Linked DNA regions of Drosophila melanogaster. The protein of the gene in region 3 interacts with the protein of the main gene of each other region in a pairwise test. Each region holds a gene or a part of one and is shown on either strand. Other genes may lie near its edges. The genes, in order: CG12655, CenG1A, CG17233 and Cpr56F.

The links.
Region 1: the proteins of CG17233 (region 3) and CG12655 interact in a two-hybrid assay, tested with the Drosophila melanogaster proteins (one large-scale study listed by BioGRID).
Region 2: the proteins of CG17233 (region 3) and CenG1A interact in a two-hybrid assay, tested with the Drosophila melanogaster proteins (one large-scale study listed by BioGRID).
Region 4: the proteins of CG17233 (region 3) and Cpr56F interact in a two-hybrid assay, tested with the Drosophila melanogaster proteins (one large-scale study listed by BioGRID).

The regions. Positions count from the first base shown.
Region 1 is NC_004354.4:19,957,709-19,961,329, forward strand, and holds CG12655 (uncharacterized protein), read right to left. Parts: upstream 1,696-3,621; 5' UTR 1,660-1,695; coding exon 1,593-1,659; intron 1,193-1,592; coding exon 792-1,192; 3' UTR 685-791; downstream 1-684. Other genes in the region: CG43784 (uncharacterized protein), read right to left, coding at 149-165, 262-517.
Region 2 is NT_033779.5:13,833,883-13,838,974, forward strand, and holds the start of CenG1A (centaurin gamma 1A), read left to right. Parts: upstream 1-1,681; 5' UTR 1,682-2,174; coding exon 2,175-2,550; intron 2,551-5,092. Other genes in the region: Polr2C (RNA polymerase II subunit C), read left to right, coding at 1-369; mRpS23 (mitochondrial ribosomal protein S23), read right to left, coding at 415-778, 840-1,001, 1,057-1,100.
Region 3 is NT_037436.4:20,238,144-20,243,626, forward strand, and holds the start of CG17233 (uncharacterized protein), read right to left. Parts: upstream 3,376-5,483; 5' UTR 3,132-3,375; exon of another isoform or gene 2,976-3,131; intron 2,964-2,975; exon of another isoform or gene 2,910-2,963; intron 2,390-2,909; 5' UTR 2,353-2,389; coding exon 1,720-2,352; intron 1,471-1,719; coding exon 595-1,470; intron 1-594. Other genes in the region: Clc (clathrin light chain), read left to right, coding at 4,655-5,314.
Region 4 is NT_033778.4:20,287,756-20,293,995, forward strand, and holds Cpr56F (cuticular protein 56F), read right to left. Parts: upstream 4,191-6,240; 5' UTR 4,079-4,190; coding exon 4,073-4,078; intron 2,796-4,072; exon of another isoform or gene 2,678-2,795; coding exon of another isoform or gene 2,569-2,677; intron 2,475-2,568; coding exon of another isoform or gene 1,924-2,474; exon of another isoform or gene 1,790-1,923; intron 1,757-1,789; coding exon 1,109-1,756; 3' UTR 616-1,108; downstream 1-615. Other genes in the region: CG34199 (uncharacterized protein), read left to right, coding at 1-507; CkIIbeta2 (casein kinase II beta2 subunit), read left to right, coding at 1,924-2,474, 2,569-2,677.

The DNA.
Region 1 (3,621 bases), on a different chromosome or scaffold from region 3:
TTAGCTTCTTAAAAATGGCAAATAATTGTACAACAATTTGAATACATCCGAATTTTTCGAGCTTATCAGCTAATTCTGGGAAAGAAAGAAGAGTCTTACTATATGGACGAAATGCCTTTCTAATATATCTTACCTTCTTAATCCAAACTCAATCTGAATCTGAATCTGTAAATAATATGTAAATGTTGATTACAAAATTTGATATGACCTGCCTTTTAACTGTTTCACACCAATCATACCATTGATGCGAAGATTACTTACCACTGCCACTGTTACAGTGACTGGCACTTGCTGTTTCCTCTAGCATGTTTAAATAATAGTTGTCGTTATGTGTGCGGATCACACCATCAACGATTAGCGTATCAAGGGCGTCATCAATTCGCCTTCCCATTTTCCAGAACTTCTTGTCTGTAGCTGTGCTCACCGCTTTTAGGATCACCTCCTTGGAGGCAAAGCCACCCATGGCGTCGATGCACTGGATCACCAGGTGGCTAATATTCGATTTTTTTTGCGACATTTGAATATCAAATTTGCTTCGTTTACAAAATAATTTAAACTTTCACTATTATGAATAAATTTTTGTTTAGTAATGTTCAATGTAGTTCTCTAAGCCTTCTGGGCTTACCAAAATCAAATCAACTAATTCATTCTGACAACAACCCACCTTCCAGTAAAAAGCATTCTATGTTTTAGTAAATTTAGTAAAGAATTTACACAACTGAAAAGTTTACATAAATTAAGCTTAGAGACTAATTCACAAAAAAAAAAAACGATCCCACACTGCAACCGCATCAAAATCTCATGCCGCCCAAGGCCAATCCAAGTGCTATGGTCACGGTGACGCCCACCGAGCTGCCGATGATTGCTCCGCCATTCTGGTAGCCATAGGTACCCGGGTAGTTGGGGTCCGGCCGTACGCCCATGTAGCCCGGCTGGCCGGGATGGCCCACCTGGTTGTTGTAGGAGAAGGGACGACCGTGCTCGTCCGTACCGCTCACGTAGTAGGCTCCATTGCCACCCGCTCCACCGTAGGTACCACGCGAATCGATGCCGGCGTATCCGTAGCTGAACTGCGGATCCTGGCCACTCAGACTTCCCGGCGGATGCATCCCGCCGGACTGGGCGCTCGAATAGACGCCAACGCCGGCCGCATTTCCATTGTTCCAGTGCACCGTTCCGGCCTGGGCATCCACTGGATTCAAATGAAATGTGCTTGAATTAGTAACGCATGTAAAAGGTAACTTTCCTTGACCACAATGTACCCGCCACTTCTCGTGGACCAAACATGCTACATGGTCGTTATCAAAATGAGACCTAATACTATTACACATTTTAAATCAAATAGTTTAAAAATTTTGCTTTCATATTTGGTTTCAAATAGAAGAGATCAATAATTTGCTGATAATATCGCAGTGCTTAATTCTCCATTAGAAGTTGAAATTGAATTTGTTTACTTGGCACCGTCGAAATGGTATCGTGTGTGCGAATGCGATGTGTTATTTTCCATGGAAAAGCCGCTGAGGTTTATACGTATGTTTATTTATCGTATTTTTTGTGCGATTTTTCATATGTTCTGTTAGCGTTTCACTCACCAGCACTAAAATGAACTAGTGCCAATCCGATAACAATGACGATCAGAATGCGATTGAAATTCGACATGTTTTCCGAATGCGCGTTTGACTTCAACTAAACCGCTTCCAAAGTGCCATTGACGGTTTTAAACTCGATTCCCAAGCTCGGCTCTCATGTTATGAGTAACAATAGCGATTTTCTGCTGCCCTGAGTCATATTATTTGGTGTTTATTTACTCAATTTGAATGGAGCTGTAGTTTCGGTGGGGTATGATCAAAATAGGCACTTTATTTAGCACTGAAATCGAAAATCGAAACAACAGATTAAACATCTTAAATCTTTTTGGGTAAAATATTACCACTAGGTATCATATAGTCGAATTGCACAAAAATTTTCTCTGTTACAAGTTTACAACCTGTATTTATCTCACTCTGTAATTAGATATGACTTGTGACTTGAGATTAACAAAATAGTTTCGGTTAGCTGCAGGTAATGGGTATCTTTTAGTCGACGCACTTTTCTCAATTAATTTGCGTCTGCTTTATTAAGGAATCCTCAAAATAAAATTTAGCTATACTAGTGGTATTAATTCTTCTTATTGTTCATATCCATTCATCGTTTATTTGTTCCACATGCAGATGAGATTATTTTCTTTTCGATCAAAGAACATAAAACCGCGGTCGTACTTTATTTTCCCAAACGAGAACACGCAACTTCAAGTGCTTTCATGTTCGAGTGTCGAGATGTTATTTTTTTTTTTTTTTTTGCTGTATAGAACACGATAATTGGTTGGGTCATTAATGATATGCACGACACGGGCCGGGGTCATTTTGGGTTAAGGTGTGCTCCCATGTTGGTTTGCCCCAGAAGTCGAGATACATACATACATACATATATGTACATAGATCTTCTGGCGAATGGGGAATGCCGAGTCACAGTGCTTTGATGATCGCCCGAATTGTATTCGAACCTTCGTTGATCTTTTATGACCAAGTATATTTTGCATACATATTTTTCTAAATATTAACATATGCATGTTGTATATGCATATAAATAAACAAATATATATATATATATATATATTTATATATGTGTGTATTGTTGTCCGTCCGTTTCGCACTTTTCAGGTGAGTGGCGTTCGGAGGCGGGCAAACAATGCAGGTACGTTGTGGCTACCGTTCGACGGAAAATACATACAAACATACATATACATATGTACATACATGTATGTAGAAAACGAAAAGCCTCACAATACAATTGGTGGGCATGTGCGAATTGTTTGCTTTCTCAGTTGTGACGTAAAGCAATTTAGGTCGGCCGATAGGGTTATGCTAATGGACTATTCAATACCTTATGCTTGTATTTTTACTGCTTTGCCGAAGATAGTGAAATTGAATAGTGACTTTGTCATTCGACTGACATGTTCATTGACGTTCATTATTCATAGCCATTGCTCGCACAGGATTCATTGTTTCTAGAAGCTGTATGCTGAATCTCAATCTTCTAGCTTTTATAGTACCTGAGATCTACGGATACGGACAGATACGGACAGACGGACATGGCTAGATCGACTTGGCTATTGATCTTGATCAAGAATATATATACTTTATATAGTTCGAAACGCTTCATTCTGCCTGTTACAATGCTTTTTTAACGAATCTAGTATAACCTTCTACTCTACGAGTAACTGGTATTCAAATTTAGCTGATTAATTGAGAATTACGAGAATCGTTAGCTTTGGATACTCGATTACGTGGGTTAAACCGATAGCTTGTTGAAGGGCACTGTGATTGTCTGGCAACTCGTTGCGCGAAGCGTTGCCACCGTTCAAACAGATCCTGCGCAGTGGACCACGTTCTCCGGCAATGGGTTCAACTCGCTCCCTCCTGCCACGCATTTCTCTCTCTGTTTGTGTGTGTTTTGCTCATCTAATACGTTTGTGTTATGGTTTTTCCATTTTCGAGGGAGTCCAACCACCCGACTCCCAGCGCCGAGTGAAATTTGGAGAGAAAAGGCTAGTTCGAGTGCGATTACCGCTGCTGCTGGTGC
Region 2 (5,092 bases), on a different chromosome or scaffold from region 3:
CTGCGCAAGGGGCAGGAGCTGAAGCTGCGCGCCTACGCCAAGAAGGGATTTGGCAAGGAGCACGCCAAGTGGAATCCTACCGCAGGCGTGTGCTTCGAGTATGATCCGGACAACTCCATGCGACACACTCTGTATCCCAAACCTGATGAGTGGCCAAAGAGCGAGCACACCGAACTGGAGGACGACCAGTACGAGGCGCCCTACAACTGGGAAGCCAAGCCAAACAAGTTCTTCTTCAACGTCGAATCCGCCGGTGCCCTTAAGCCTGAGAACATTGTGGTCATGGGTGTGCAGGTGCTGAAGAACAAGCTGTCAAACCTGCAGACGCAACTCAGCCACGAGTCCCAAAACGATGCATTGGCCGTTTGATTTACATATAACAAGTTTATTTTAAGTTTATAAAAGATGTTCCGCCTAATCCTTGAACAAGCTGTCTATGTTAATGCCCACGTTCGCTTCCTTTTTTCCCTTGGGAGCAGGTGGTGCTGGTGACGACGTGATTTGCTGGCTCACCACAGCCTCCTTGAAGTCGCTCAGCAGCTGGGACTTGGATTCCGAATCCTGCTCTGGCAGGCATTCCTCTGGGGTAGTCTCCAGGCGGGCCTGCTGGCGCTGCTCCGCCAAAAGATCCAGTGCGGTCTCGTAGATCCTTTGCTCATCCAGGGCTCCTTGTCCTTTCAGGTCCTGGTATATTTGGACAAATTGCTGTGACTGCGTGCTGCGCCTGTGGTCAAACAGGGATATCGTTTCCTGGGGTTTGTTTTCTTTATGCAGCTTTCTGTTGGTGTACAAGATTAGTTCAGTATTGGTATAAGCCCGACTGCAGGTGAAAAACATACGCTCGGACAACATCCTCGGCATAAAATATCTGGCGCACTGGAATCTCAGGCGCGGGTCTGTCGAATCGGGGCTCCAGTTTCGGCGGAAAGGCGGCGTACACATCGTACCAAATGGGTTTATCCTCGGTTTTCATAGCTCCACCGCGTAGGAGGCCCTGAACTCTGCAAGAGTCGGGTGTTTAAAGCTTGCACAGATATTTCGTAGGAGGGTAAATACCTGGTGAAGATTGTGCCAATCTTTTCAAGCCTACTTTGTGCCATTTTGGTAAAGTTTTAATTAATTAAATGTGTTTTTTAACAAATTACGATTACGACATGCAGTGCATGAACTTATCGGTAAGCAGCCGGTGCCTATCGATACCATCAGAGTTGCCGCTGTGAGCTTAACGGACTTATGGCTTATAAGAGCCTAGAGCGCTCCAATTGGCATTTAGACGGCAAGTGAAATATTTATTTTTTTAAATTGGTTGAATTGTAGTTACAAAGATATTGACTTAAAATCTATTCATATATATGGCACTTAATTGAAATAAATTAACTACATTATGTTACTATCGATACCAGTCCAAACAAATATAGTATTTATGTCTATTACGGTGATTTTTCTGGTTGGCGTTTTTGGTATTTCTCGTGCACTTCATAGTACAGTGCTTACTCCATAAGTGTAATATTCCGAATTAATCCCGTGATTACATGTGTGTCTGGTGTAATGAAATCACTGTACACTATCTAACCATTACTTGTAAATTAATAGTACAAAATCTTGTTAGTTAAAAATTAATCACCCACTTGAGTTGGTGGAAGTTCGCTCTGTAGAGTGACCACTGTACCTGCTCTTCATCCACAGTTTGTTGTGGAACGCCTCGCACCAACTACATACTTTTACATACTCGGCTGCGCTCGACGTAAATTCTCGCACTTTTCTGTTGGTTTCGTAGTAAATTTTCGCCTTTTCGCTGTCAAATAAAGCGCACGCATCGGGAAAAACGGAGAAAAGTGCAAAATAACTAAATATAAAGTGTATCAAATATAACTGTTAGAAAAATGCCATTTGATTGTGTACTGTAATAGCGTAAACAAAAGTGTTTTGATTGTTTGTGCAGGTGCAAAATCGATCTAGTGAACTGAAAACTGCGACTCCAAAATCGGTCGAGTTAGCGCATTTATTGCCCCGATTGTTGTTATTGGAAAATGTTGTTCGTTTGGGAAAACTGTGCCATCGCAATTTTGTAGTGTTCGTGCCTGTGTGTGTGCCGTGTGTGCGTGACGAGTGTATGTGCCAGTAAATTAAGTTAATTAAAAACTTAGCTAACTCTCGATTCCACCGCCCCCGCCATGAGTAACTACCATCCGCATTCGCATCCGCACGCGCTCTCGCATCCGCATCCGCAGCAGGTCCATAATCAGCTGCAGAATCCCCACCAGAACCAGTTGCCGCCCCCGCAACGCCATAACCATGCCGCGCCCACTGCAGCAGCCTCCGCCTCCGGAGCGCCATCATCATCAGCATCGGCATCGGCATCAGCATCTATCCTGGTGGCCCATCCTCCCCAGCCGCTCATCAGCAACTCGCTGGCCATCCGGCAGGAGATCCAGCGATTCGAGAGCGTCCACCCATCCATCTATGCCATATACGAACTGATCGATCTGCTGCCCATGGCCGATGCCCAGATAGCCCAGTCCATTCGGGACCATGTGGTCTGCATTGAAGGTAAGTCCCCCTCTATTAGTGCACCTAGTTTAATGATTATAATTAGTTACACTAGAGTTTAGCCATTGAATGGTAAAGCGGTTTCTGTAATTAGTTTTGCAATCAAAGTTTATGTTTGTCCACCTGTTTATACTGTAAATATTGCAGGCTTAACTTCCTATTAAATGGCAATAAGGAGATCAAGTGGCCTAATTGTCCAATTAGATATTGCTGAAAAGTTTATGATGTTTAGCTTAGGTTTCGAGTTATAGATTCTCATTTCCACCTGTTAATACTAAGTCTATCCAATTTGGGTCGTTACACTCTTTGTAATAAATAAATAAATGTGATTAGTATAGCATATAATGTTTATAAGATGTACGACCAAACCCGACTTAACCTGAAAGTATTTTAATGAATATATTTCAACGCTTAAGTGCTTGAAAGCAGCTGCACAAATGTTTTGCTAGAAAATAGGCTTTTAAACGTAAAATGTGTAAGTGCTAGATTCCAAATATAACAGTACTCTTATTATATATTTCGTTTGTTTTTTAATGGCTTGCAAATTTATGCACCATAACAAGGAAATGCTCTGCTTGTGAATTCGAAACTTTTGCTCAAGGGTCACTGGTTTTAATGGAGCATTCGGAGGTGTGCCCCAGAAATGATGAGCAACTAAATGTGCTATAAATTATGCAAAGACACAGTAAAGAAAAGGGTTTCAAAGTCGGAAAGTGGAGTCTATCGTGACTTTCGATGGACTGACTGGTCGTCCCATTGAGTGTGTCAAGTCGGCGGGAAGAGATGCGAATCCTTTGATTAAACATGTTTATCGCTGCAATTGTATCCACACCTTCATTGTGCCCCTTATCGCGAGCGTCTGGACTTGTGGTTGCCTTTGTTTGGAGTGCTTTATGCTAATCTTAGACCGAAAATCTATGAGGCAACATCAACCCCCGGTTGATGGCGAGGATTATTGTTGCCAAAATGCCCATTCAAGCGGATCGCAGCGGGCCCATTGAAAGTGTTGTCGCTCTGTTCATGGAAAAGAAAGAGCTTCGTTTTTTGTTTAAAACAAGCTTTTCTGCCCAATTTTCAGCATGTGTGTGTGTGTGTGTGTGTGTTTGTATGCGGGGACTGAAATTTGATGCCCTCTTCCTCTTTGTGGCAGGCAGCAAAACTGAATACTGAAAACTGAAAACCGTTCACGAAATCAAACCGAAAACCGGTTCCTGAAATGGTTTATTAGAAAATCTCTGGCAGAGGCAGCAACAACGAAAGGCTCACCAAAAATGTAAACAAAATTGTCAGAGGCAGCGGCAGCGGCAGCAACCTCATGAATACTCGAATACTCCACTCTGTGTCGTGCAAACCAGATATGTACGAAACCCGAGAATACGAGAGCGTACGATCTCGTAAACCGTTTCGCACGCGACTTTCTTATTGGCATTGACCCGCAACACGGGCACATTGGTCCAATATGTACAAATATATACATATATAACTATATCGAATACCGATTCTAATTCGCTGTCAGCGTGATGAACGATGCTTTCGTTGGACTCTGGTTGCCGTTTTCCCGTTCCAAATGCTTATTTATAGGTTTCGGTAACGGTCTCCAATAAATCGAGAAGGTCAAAAGTATCTAACGAAAATAAATAAAAGAAATTCTGTGCTATCTGTTCGTTAACCTTTTCATTTGAAATCGATTTAGAAGCTATATAGCATAAATAATCATACAGCAGCTTACTATACATAGCTTACTACTTAACAAATAAAAACGTTTATGGACAATAATCTAAAGAATCGATATAATCTCAGAACTTAATGCCCGTTTTTTTTTTTTTTTTGGTTAAGAGCTCTTGCGTTTAAAGTGCCCCCTTAATATTGTAAGCTGCTGACTCACCGAAATCAGTTCGAGTCTTAAACCACATTTAACTGCTAAGATGTCATTGAACTTTTAGCGAATCAAAGTTTAGTTACATATTTAAAAGGCACTCAAGAAAAATAATGTGTTGCTGATTATTTACGAATGAGATTTTTATTTATGTATCTTATAGAATTTGATGCTTCCTCAGCGAGATTTGTAATCCAATTAGGCCAAGGCCTTGATATTTTAGACAAAATTCAGCAACAATGGCTGCTTAAATATTTCTGTAAACTGCGTACTATTGTGTGTGTGTGGCTACATGTGCCGTCTAAAATTAGCATATGAAGCTATAAATGGGGATCCATAAACAATAGAAAGGCTGTGCATTGAGCTTCTAGTAAATTAAATCGATTACACGATATCAGCATATCAATGGCAATTTTTACTACAAATTGATAATTCCATTAAGGGGGGTGTTCGTTTGGCTGAACATAAATAACCTACCTGGAATTCTTGTTCGATTGTTCGCGGTGTTTATGCAAACACAAAGGCGTGTTGTCTGTTTGGTTTGTTTGTAAATAGCCAAGTAATAGTCGGCCCTAAAAACAACAACAACAACGGCAGTCAGTTGAAATGCCGCTGGCGGTAGTGAAAAACAAATTTCCTCTCTTATCTCAAATGGCTTGCGACTGC
Region 3 (5,483 bases):
ATCATACCATTACAACATAACGTCACAGTTTCAAAGTGGCCACATGACTTTAAACTAGAGAATATCAGTTAGCAGTTTTTGTTAGATTGAACCGAAGAATTTCAAATTAAGCGATTAATAACAGAAGGCCAAAGAAATAGCTTCCACCATAATACAAGAAATAATCGAAAGGGCATGCAAATTTTTTTTAAAATATAAAGCTACAGAACAGGGCTTTAACGAAATAACCTTATATTCGGGAAACTGGATACTTCTAGTATTTGAAAGCAAGAAAATCTAATTAGTACTTCTATAAATGTAGGTTTCAAATTCTTAATTAAAATAAATATTGGAAATTTTGCGTCCAAATGAGATTTTTTATGTAAGCTACCAATAGTCTGTTAAGGTACGTTTTGTTAATTCAAATTTATTTTTAGCCAATCAGAAAGAAAAAGCGCACAGTGGAACTAAATAAGAGATCTTCCAAACTAGTCCATTTAAGTTGGCAAAATCTTGGAAGAAATAGTGTGAAAAGCAAATAAAACGAAATAAAGGCAGAACACAAACAAATTAATAAACAAATAGAAACGGAAATAAAAAAAATTAAATACAAACCTTTGGCACTACTTGAATCTGTGACGCTAAGTTGCCCGCCGACGGCGACATGATCATGTTGGCCACCACGTGCTGGCGCCGACCGGAGGACTGGGATTGGTTTTGATTGTGCTCCTGCAGCTGCAGTTGCTCCCCATCGACCACGCTCGCGGGATAGAAGGTTTGCTTGATCTCCAGCCCGGGCGGTAGGTTGAAAACTAGATTTTCGCCACCACCACCGGCGTCCACTGAGGATGCCTCACTGGCAAAATCGAGCTGCCGATGTTCCTGTTTCACCTGCAGCTGCAGCACGTTCTTAATGTCCTCCTGCCCCGCTCCATTGTCCTCCAGCTTCGTCCAGCAGAGGTTCTGCTGCTGCTGCTGTTGCTGCAGGGTGCTTTGTATCACAGATGAGTAGGCCACCGTGGTGGGTGTGGCAGCAGCAGACGATCCAGCGCCCGCTTCTTGCCGCCTTTGCACAGGGGATGCCGTCTTGTAGACGATCACCTGGGCCTGCGGTGTGCTGACCACGTCCACCGCATGTAAATTCGTGATGGGCGATCCATCTGCGGAGCTTAGCGCCGGACTGGCATATTGCACCGGATAGGATCCCGCCGGAACTGGCACTGCCAGCGGCACCGGACTGGCATCCTGTTGGTCTACTATCGTTGCCCGATACGGCTGGCCATCCTTCCGCGTCACCTTGACCTTCCGGCCATCAATGGTGTAATAGGTGTCCGGTTCTGTGTCTGCCTCGGCGATCTCCTGTTGCAGTTGCTGGTGGAGCTGCTGCTGTTGCTGCTGCGCCGCTGTCTGTTGTTGCTGCTGCTGCTGTTGCAGTTGGATCAGGTAAATCGAGTCGTTGTAGGCTTTTAATTGCTTTTCCTGCTTAATCTGCTACAGCGCACCGTACATAGATTGAATCGGAATCGGAAAGTGTTTGGTTTGGGATTGATTCGACATAGAGAGGCTAGACTTAGTCTATGCTTTGATGGGTTTATTGGAAGGGATGTTATGTTAGTATGCGATAAATGCGATAGAGCCTGCGGGGTTTTAATAAGTGTGTGTGCTTCCCCAGAAGCTGGCGTAAACCATAATAGAAGAGTGATCTGAAAGCCGAACGTAAAACAAACGAATTCTACTCACCACTTTGTCGGCCACCAGGTTTAGCTGTTGCTGTTGCGCCTGCTGCTGTTGCTGTTGGGCCTGTTGTTGCTGCTGTTGTGCCTGCTGCTGTTGCTGCTGTGCCTGCTGCTGTTGCATGGCCAGGAAGGTGTTCGATATCATGTTCGGCGTGTTCCAGGTCAGCGACGTCGACGTCAGGGCCACCGTTGTGGGCGATGGTGAGGCTCCACTCGACGAGGAGTTCTCCCCGTAATAGTTCGAGGCAACATTGTTGACTACAGCAGCCGCTGCCGCCGACACGGCCGCCTGGTTCTGGAACGAACTGAGCTGCTTGTCCAGCGAACTGGGCAGCTGCAGCTGGCGGTGCGGCGTGCTCACCGCTGACGAGGCATAGTGGGCGGGCTTAGGCTGGACACTGGCCGCCGCCGCATGGTGGTAGATCTGCTGGAATACTGGGTTGTAGCTGCCAATCGGTGACGGAGGCACAAAGCTGCCACCACTGGCGGCCGCCGCATTAAAGCTGGCGATGCTTGCTGCCGTAATGGTGGCCAGGTGTGGATGCTGGAAGTCCTCTGCTGTTCCGCCGGAGCTTCCGGCACTGGCGGGCACGATGCGGTTGTAGGCGTATGACCAGGGACTGGAATTGGGATCCATGTTTGGCTTGGGCTCTTCTACTGCTGATGGCTGGTAACTGAAACAAATAGCAAAACTTTAGTGGTTTTTGAATATAATTAGCGGCTTATATGTAAAGGATTAACTAATTGGAGTTTATTATTGCTCGGATACATTTCCAATGGTCATGTGTTAAGTCTAAAAATCCCGCCCATATTTATCAATTTAGCGGTAGCTTAGATTATAACATATTTATATTGTTATCACAAGTTGCTTGCCATGGCATTCATAATATAGAGGGGAAAAAGGCGCGAATTCAATTAATGTTATTTATGGATCAATAATAATTACTATAAAATTATTGATATTTATATGTGGTCAAACATATTTTGTTTATCTTTTATTGTAAATCAATAAACACATAGTAGAAGTACACTTTAGAATGAAACACTCCAGTTTTGGGGTGTTTGTTCCCCAACTTTTCTGCACTGAAGGGATCCCCCTATTTTTTTCGTATCTTCATTTTTTTTGTATCCCTTTTGGCCACGATGCGCTTGGTTCCCCCTTCAAAAAAATTGGCGTCTGTATTTTTTGCCTTGGCGCTCGGCGGCAAGGAGACCGCATTTTTGAAGTTTCAGCGTCAATGGGTTAATGTGGGTGCTCACTTATGACATTACAATGACGGGGCCATCACATTGGCTGGGATTTATGCTGTTTTTGGCAATGTTTTTCTGCCTGGGAATAGGATTTTTTCCCGTATTTTCCGCTTGTACATATATGTATCCATGCACACAATCACACACACACACACACATACTCACACACACGGGCGTACATGCGTGCGTGTTGGAAGATAGTCACTAACTTTTAGTCGTTATAGAATCGGAACTGTCGGTCTGCTCGGGCCCAGCATTATCTTCACATCGGATCGGCCAGCACAACAACGCTTCAATATGCACGAGCGGATTTTATGTTTAACTAACAGCGAACGTTCTTTTTTTTAGATTCGGTGCATAACTTTTTTGTGGATGAAACAATCTCCAAAATGGCCGCTCTGCTGCCAGTGAAAAACGAACCACTGGCTCAGGTGAATGATGCCACGGTGAACTTGTTCATCGGTTCACTAGTTCGCGCGCCGAGTGTTTATTGTTTGTTTTGCCGTCGTCCTCGCATTTCGTCTTTGTTAATTTCCTCAAAAAGTATACTGCGTCTTGTGTTCTTCGTGGCATAGGTTAGTCAAAAACATAATTAAGTCATGTTGTGTGAACAATTCACCGTGAAATTTGACCAGCAATTATATTCCCATGTGCTATGCAATAGCAACAAGTGTTGTATAATACGCTTTTTATCGGGTCTACAGTCATTACTAGTTAACTTTGTTGTGTATTTACATTTTACGAGCATTTATTAAGGCACATTTGATAAGATATAAACAAATTAATCGTAACTCCTCTGAAGGTTGTGTTTACTGAACTCGCGCGTTTCCTAACACTGATCAATTGGAACTAGTTGATTTCAAAAACCATGAGAACTTTACAAAATCTGAAAACAAAAAAAAAAATAAAATAATTCCAAACTTAAATATTATATTAAATCTAGGTTTTATTAACTATATGTACGGTTCTAAATTATATATGAACGAATCAAGCCACCACCATTACACATTTTGCAACACTAATTGACCAGAAACCCAGTGGAAAATTGACGCTGCTGATATAATTTAAAAGTTTAGTTAAGGAAAAATTAAATGTTCTTACTTTGGTTTTTTCAACATACATTATCATAAACTTGTAGCTTAATAATACAAAATGTAGCTAAATCTTTAACTCGTTATCCGTGATGTTAAGGAATGTTGAATTCGGCTTTGACAAGTAAAATAGTTAACAATGGTTTCTGTTCCTTAAATATTACTAATTTGTATACATTTAAAAGATTTGGCATAATAACTGGTGTAAAAAAATATTTATTTTTTAATATAAAAATCATAACATTAAATTTAAAACCATCGCGTTGCGATATATGTTGCATTATCCAGCACTGTTCGGCTGGAACCAGTTCGATAGCCCGCTGTTTTATGGTTGGTTCACGTACTAATGACAGTCATTTTACGTATTCATTGCTAAAAGAAAACTGAAAAAATACATTTGACCAAGTTTCCGGTTAGTCATCCGCCCACACCGATCTTCAATTAGTCCTAACCGAATCAAAGGAGAGGTGCGTAGTGCCCAATTGTCAATGAATCGGGGGGAATCCGCCAGCAGCTGGCTGCTCCTCTGCGTACGTGTAAATCTGGGTGAGACGCCCACTAAATAGCAATCACAACATTTCCAGAGAGCACATAGCCATGGACTTCGGAGACGATTTCGCTGCCAAGGAGGACGTGGATCCGGCGGCCGAGTTCCTGGCGCGCGAACAGTCAGCTCTCGGGGACTTGGAGGCGGAGATTACGGGTGGATCTGCATCAGCTCCTCCGGCTGCATCCACAGACGAGGGCTTGGGTGAGCTTCTGGGAGGCACCGCCTCCGAAGGCGATCTGCTCTCTGCTGGCGGCACGGGTGGCCTCGAATCCTCCACTGGCAGTTTTGAGGTCATTGGTGGCGAGTCCAATGAACCCGTGGGCATATCCGGTCCGCCGCCGTCGCGGGAAGAGCCCGAAAAGATACGCAAATGGCGCGAAGAGCAAAAGCAACGACTGGAGGAGAAGGACATCGAGGAGGAGCGAAAAAAGGAGGAACTCCGACAGCAGTCCAAGAAGGAGCTGGACGACTGGTTGCGCCAGATTGGCGAGTCCATATCGAAGACCAAACTGGCGTCGCGGAATGCCGAGAAACAAGCCGCCACCCTGGAGAATGGCACCATCGAGCCGGGCACCGAATGGGAGCGCATAGCCAAGCTCTGCGACTTCAATCCCAAGGTGAACAAGGCGGGAAAGGACGTCTCCCGCATGCGATCCATCTACCTGCACCTCAAGCAGAATCCCATCCAGGTGCAGAAGAGCACCTAGGTAGTTTTAATTACGCACTCGCCTAACCACATTGAGTTGAATATGAAAATTATTATTGAAAGTATTCGCTGTATATTCCAATTTATGATACATAAAATATTATTATTGCTGCTATAACATAGCCGCGATCATCGTTTTGTCTAATGAATGCAATAAAGAATGTGCACAC
Region 4 (6,240 bases), on a different chromosome or scaffold from region 3:
CGTATAGCACCTTATGCACCAACTGGTTGGCATCCGCAGATTCCATTCAACTTACCCAACGAGTATGTGCCTGCTATCCGATCAAGTCAGGGAGTAGAAATCACAAAGGCACGAGTGGACCAGTTCGATCCAGTGGAAAAGCCCCAGCCAAATTATTTGCCTCCAAATCAACTGGATATACCCGAGGAAGAGATTTTGCCCACCTCACGACCGTCCAACAAGTACGGTCCGGCAGATCCGAAATTTAAAATCATTTATCCTGATGATGAGGAGCCAGTTACTGCAAAAAATATCGTAGACAATCAGCAGCCCAAAATCAGAGAGGGACGTTACTTCGTCATTTCGCAGGACAATAAACTACAAAGAGTTTCTTTCAGCTCCCAGCAAAACGCAGATGCAGATGCAGATGATTTTACGGCTCAGTTGACTTACTCCACTGTGGGGCAACTCAAGGATCCTGTGTATCGATACAACAGACAGGGACAACTGGAGCGGGTCCTGAAGTAGGCAATTTGGATATAGCTATTTGAATATGTAAAATAGAGTTGTGCAATGTATTCAATTCTCAGAATGAATTATCTTGTTAATTATAAAAACAGTTTGGTTTTTCTTTTTGACTTTGTTTTATACAAAAATGCTTCTTTATTCATTTAATAATTATTAAATATACACAAAAATCTCATAAGTTCGTTTCACTTTCGAATTTCCATTTTCGTTTAAAAACTAAATACAATCCTTATGCATGTATGTATGAATGCGTAATGGTCATGTTGTGGGTGAATGGTGTGTTGGAGTGTGTGCGTAGACTAACACAAAATGAAGGCGCTTAAACAAAACAAAACGGCAAGGAGTTCCAGGTGTAGAGACGGAAAACAGGATAACGAACAGCAGTGAAACGGAAACGGAAAGGAACGCGCCTGTCTATGGCAAAATGGCGGGCGTCCCACTAAGGGTATGCACAGAGATGGGAATAGGGTTATATGGATAGACTGACTGCGATCGCTGGCCCACTGGCTGGATGTGCGTTTAATACTCGGCCAGCGATCCCATGAAGTAGACGAGTATAGTTGCGGGGTCGACCTAAATCGGGTATCCTCACTTCCCCATCTTAGTAGCCGTTGAATTTGCCCTGCTGCGCGTTGCTATCATAACCGCCACCGTTGCGACCATTGCCATTGCCGTTTCCGTTGCCATTGCCGACCTGCTCGTACCGAATGGTTGGGCGGTATCCATTCTGGTCGGCCTCGTACTCAACAATCTGTTTGCGTCCATCGGGCAGCAGGACGTAGTAGCGGCCCACAGCAAGATCACCATCGCGGGACTCCATGTGGCCGAAGTCATTGCCCGACTCGTAGTCCTGTACGTCGTACTTGAACTCGTACTTGGCCGGTCCATACTGCTCCTCATCCCGTTGTCCGTAGCCGTTGCCGTTGCCATTACCGCCGCCATAGCCGCCGTTTCCGTTTCCGTTTCCGCCCTTGAAGATGGCACCAGTCAGCGCTGGAGCACCATATTGACCCTGGGGAGGAGCGATGGGGGCGCCATAGCTGTTGCTGGGCGCTCCTCCATTGCCACCGGCCCGCTGGGGTGGCAAGTAGTTGCTCGACGGCGACTGGTAGCCCTGCGTGGGCGGCAGGTAGTTGTTGGACGGCGCCTGAGGCGACTGATTGGGGGGCAGGTACTGGTTCTGGGGAACTGGTGGTTCCGCATGGGTCCAGGCAGCCAGGCACACGAGCAGGGCAATGGATGTAAAAGCCTGGGAATGAAAATTCAGGGTTGCATTTACATTACAGTTTTCGTTTTGAGTTGACAACCCTTGATTGAACACTCCGTCCCTGACAGCTGTCATTCGAAATTAAATAAGTCCTATTGTTAAGCTCTCGTGATTTTGACTGATTAAATTAAAGCTTAAAAGAAGCAGCTATGACCGATTCGGACGAATCTTCCTGGATTCATTGGTTTTGCAAGCAGCGTGGCAACGAATTCTTTTGCGAGGTGGATGAGGAATATATCCAGGACAAGTTTAACCTTAACTTTCTTGATTCGAACGTTAAGAACTACAAATGTGCCTTGGAGGTGATCCTGGATCTTAATCCGGGTTCAGCTTCGGAAGACCCCGCTGAACCAGAACTGGAGGCTAGTGCAGAGAAACTGTATGGCTTGATCCATGCTCGCTTTATCCTAACCAACAGGGGCATCGAACTGATGTTGGACAAGTACAACAAGGGCGAATTCGGCACATGTCCACGTGCATTCTGCCATAGCCAGCCGGTGCTGCCCATTGGTTTGAGTGATAATCCTGGCGAGGATATGGTACGCATCTATTGCCCCAAGTGCAATGATGTGTACATTCCCAAGGCGTCGAGACATTCGAATCTGGATGGAGCCTTCTTTGGCACTGGATTCCCTCATATGTTCTTTATGGAGAAACCGGATGCTAGGCCCAAGCGGGCAAAGCAGAAGTTTGTGCCCAGGTTAGATCTTCCGTTTCCTGTGTTTCCTTCTATTTCCCTATGTTTTTAAGGTAGTTACTAATAATGTATAACTAATGTAACTATGTTTTCCCAGGCTTTATGGCTTTAAAATCCACCCCACGGCCTACCGTACTGCCGCTGAGATCCAAAAAGATGTGACAATGACGCCAGTAGGAGAAATCGATAGCCCATCCCACATTTGATCCTAAAGCTAAAATTTCTCATAAGCAACTGTCGCGTACTTCTCGAATAAGTGGGCACTGTTCGCCCGGCTGGCTGCCAGCTCATTAAACTCTCATAACAATAACTGCTCAGGCTGTGACCCGCTTGACAATCTTTTGTTTGGATTTGATGGCCTGCGAGCAGGCCCAGAATTGGCTTTGTCTTTCCCATCTTTACAGCATTTAGCTGAGGCATATGCAAATCTGTAGTAATTGGGTCCCAGGTGAAGCTCCCATCGGATTGGATTGGATTTAGCTGGGCTGCAAGTGAAGGGCTAATCTCGTGATCTTGCGCAATGCGTCTGAATCTTAAGTATTCGCCGTGTGGCGCGGACAACCTGTGGGAGAACCACTTCGGCTCACTCTTACACAACTTATTTCCGAATCTTGTGCAAAAGATCTTCTGGCCGAGTGTTTAGGCACAGGGCCGTCAATGACTTTCATGCTTCATTGGCGTTAAAATGCTATGCTTTTTGGCTGCGCTTTTGTCTGTATTTTTTTTTTATCGCCGCCTGGTCATCTCCAGACTGCCTTACTTGGGCATGTCCAGTAGTTCTTCTTCCGCCACTTAAAGTTTCTCTAATTTATTCATTGCAAAATGACCCCAAGCAGCGGCAGCTGTTGTTGCTTCTGTTTGTTACCCACACCCTAGAAATGAACTGGGATCGCTGGTTGCAATTGTTTCCCAGGCGAATGATATCGGTGTTCTAATTCCGCAACCTACCATAAAAAACAGTAGCTATCCTAAACAAATTGATGGTAATCTTAACTGCGATGATGATGGCAACTTATGAAATTTATTATGCGGATCTCCGCTTGATTAATCACCCAGCTGAACTTGACTTTTAATATGGCTCAAATATTAATATTTCATGTCTTTTCCTTCCGATTAGCTGATTAAGTGCTATGTGAGACAATGAAAGCTTCATTAGTTTGATGAGTTGTTTAATTGATTGATCGATCTATTGCCAAAAACGATTTTAAATGAGGGCTATTGATTGGATACAGAAAAATGAATACAAAATTCGAACATATTTTAGCACCTTTGCAATGCAGAAAAAGATATGGGCAAATATTGTGATGTTTATTTGATCATTCTAAGATTTTGTAACCCAACGTTGTTTGTATGTTAGCTACAGCAAACTTCAATATCCTTTGAAAATTTAACAAAAGGTCGAAACTGTATCTAATAAAGGACCTATATTGAATGATCTTTATAGCTATTCAAGTTTTATATCCTTTAGTCATATCGTTTCCCGAATGCCGAATGAGGCATTGTATTTCGTTTTGGCTGCCCATATCCTTTTGTGAGGACTTTTTTTTTTCACACAGCACACCACTTGGCACTTGACTCGAAAGTTCTATTCGGCTATATACCTTCATTTTGTGTTGTCACTTGTTTGGGATTTTGGCACACACGAAAACGGTTTTTGTTAACTTTGCTCTGTTGGCTGTGTTCTTCTTGCGAAGATGGTTGACTTGATTGTGATACTGAAACAATTTCGTAGGCCAGTATTTATATTTGAAATGAGCAGCAGCTAACGCGGCGGCGTCGACGTCGGCTTCAAAAAATTGCGCGCCAAAATGTGTGTGTTTTTTGTTCAGCTTAGTTCGTTATTTCAATTTTCGGTTAGTCGAGAAAAAAATGAGTGCCACAGTGCCGAACGAGCACTTGAAAAACATTACAAAATAATGCAAAGCACACGGAGCTGAGGAAGAGCAAATCGCTCTCGGTGGTGCTGCCGAGAAAAGAGGGAAATCGCTTGAGGTGGATTTGTTATAGTAAACTAGTTACTTTGGAAATTAAAGCGCCAAACATTTTGACGATGCTGACTTCGTATCTGCGGTCGGGTTCGGCAAATGAGCGAAGATGAGTGCCAAACATTCAAACAAATGAGACGAGGGAGTACCGCGCTCCTGCGGCTGCAGGCCATAAACATTTGTTGCCGCTCGTGTAATAGCAGAAACACTTATTTGTAATGGAATTAGTCATGCAGCAGGCAGCGGGCAGCGACGTCGACGGTAGCGTCCAAAAGCCAAGTGAGCGGAGGCAGCTGCTCCACGCATCTTCATCTCGCATCGGAGGCTTCAGCTTCAGTCGTGCGGCAGCTTCAGCGGCGGCCGCCTCGAAAGGCGAAGCAGAAACAAAAGACTCAGGCAACGAACTTGCTGCAGGCAATGCTGCTGCAAATTGTTTCCCCTTAGTGCGTGGGAGTTTTCGCTGGGTTTTGCTCGGTTTTGTTTTTCAGCACAACTAATGAGCTGGATTATGCCCCCGACTTCACAAATGTGTCCGTTTGGATTGGCGTTGACATGGATTCAAGTCGGATAAGCTGCAATTGAGCTGTGAGCACAGCGAGGGAAAAAGAGTTTTAAGATACGTTATCTTCCTTGCTGGGAAAGATACGCTCTGGTGTCGAAAATGTTGATTGTTATTAAACTGAGCATTAGTAACGGCTTGTAGTTGCTTTGCGAATCAAAATTACCTAAAGATCTCTTCAACATTCATTTATGGGTGAAACATTGCTCCAATTTAAATGAGATCAATTTATTTATATATTTACTTTATAAACAAATAATTTGTAGAGAGAAATAAGTTTTAAAATAAACACATATTTAAAAAAAATAACATAATTTTTTTTTCTATTTGTCCATTTCCTGCAAAACGTATTGAAATGTGTATGCTCAATAGTTTTGGATACTTATTTATCCCATTAAAAAGTCGATTGCATAACAAAGGAAACTTGAACTCTTTAAAAATACTCGAACACAATACTTGACAATAGGGAAAAGTAATTCAATATTTTTATTGCCATATTCCATGTTCATTTAAACAGTGGGCGTAGCATCCATCACGATCTGCAAATATTTCTTTGGTCAATTGTCTTTTGGCTCATTGGTCGAATGCGTAGCAAATTAAAATTTTTATCATTTTGTTATAACGGACCCTGCTTATTTTGCGATTTGGCACGAGCTGACTTTCACATTCGATAATGCCAAGTTTATGAGTTGTAAATTTAAAGGCCGTGCGAAGCCACGCCCCAAATGAGCTGGAAATTAATGAGGTATTGAAGGGATTGAAGGGATGGGGTGGGATGGAATTGCTTCCTCGCTGCGTATTCCCCCAAGTGATTTTCTGCAAGTAATACTCGACCTTGCCACAGACCACAATAAAAATAAATTAGAGAATATACAGCCAAGCTTTTGTAATTACCAAGATCATTTGGAGTTATGTGTGCAAATATGCGAATGCGAAAAATTCAAATAAACAAACAGAAATTATAGCAGAGCAGTTAAGACTTGACTTCATAATGGCTAATATGAATCTTGAAATGTAAGCAAAACAATTAAATAAATAAACCTTCGTATGCCGCATTCCTTGTCTCGGAAACCAAAACTGAAATTCATTTTCAATAGCACTCCATGAACGACTTCAAATCTGTTTTCGGTTTTCAGTTTTCAGCTTCAGTCTTCTGCTTGTTTTTTTTTTTACGTTTGTAATCATTTTTCCAGCACATTAAAAAATCATTTAATTTCCTGCATCG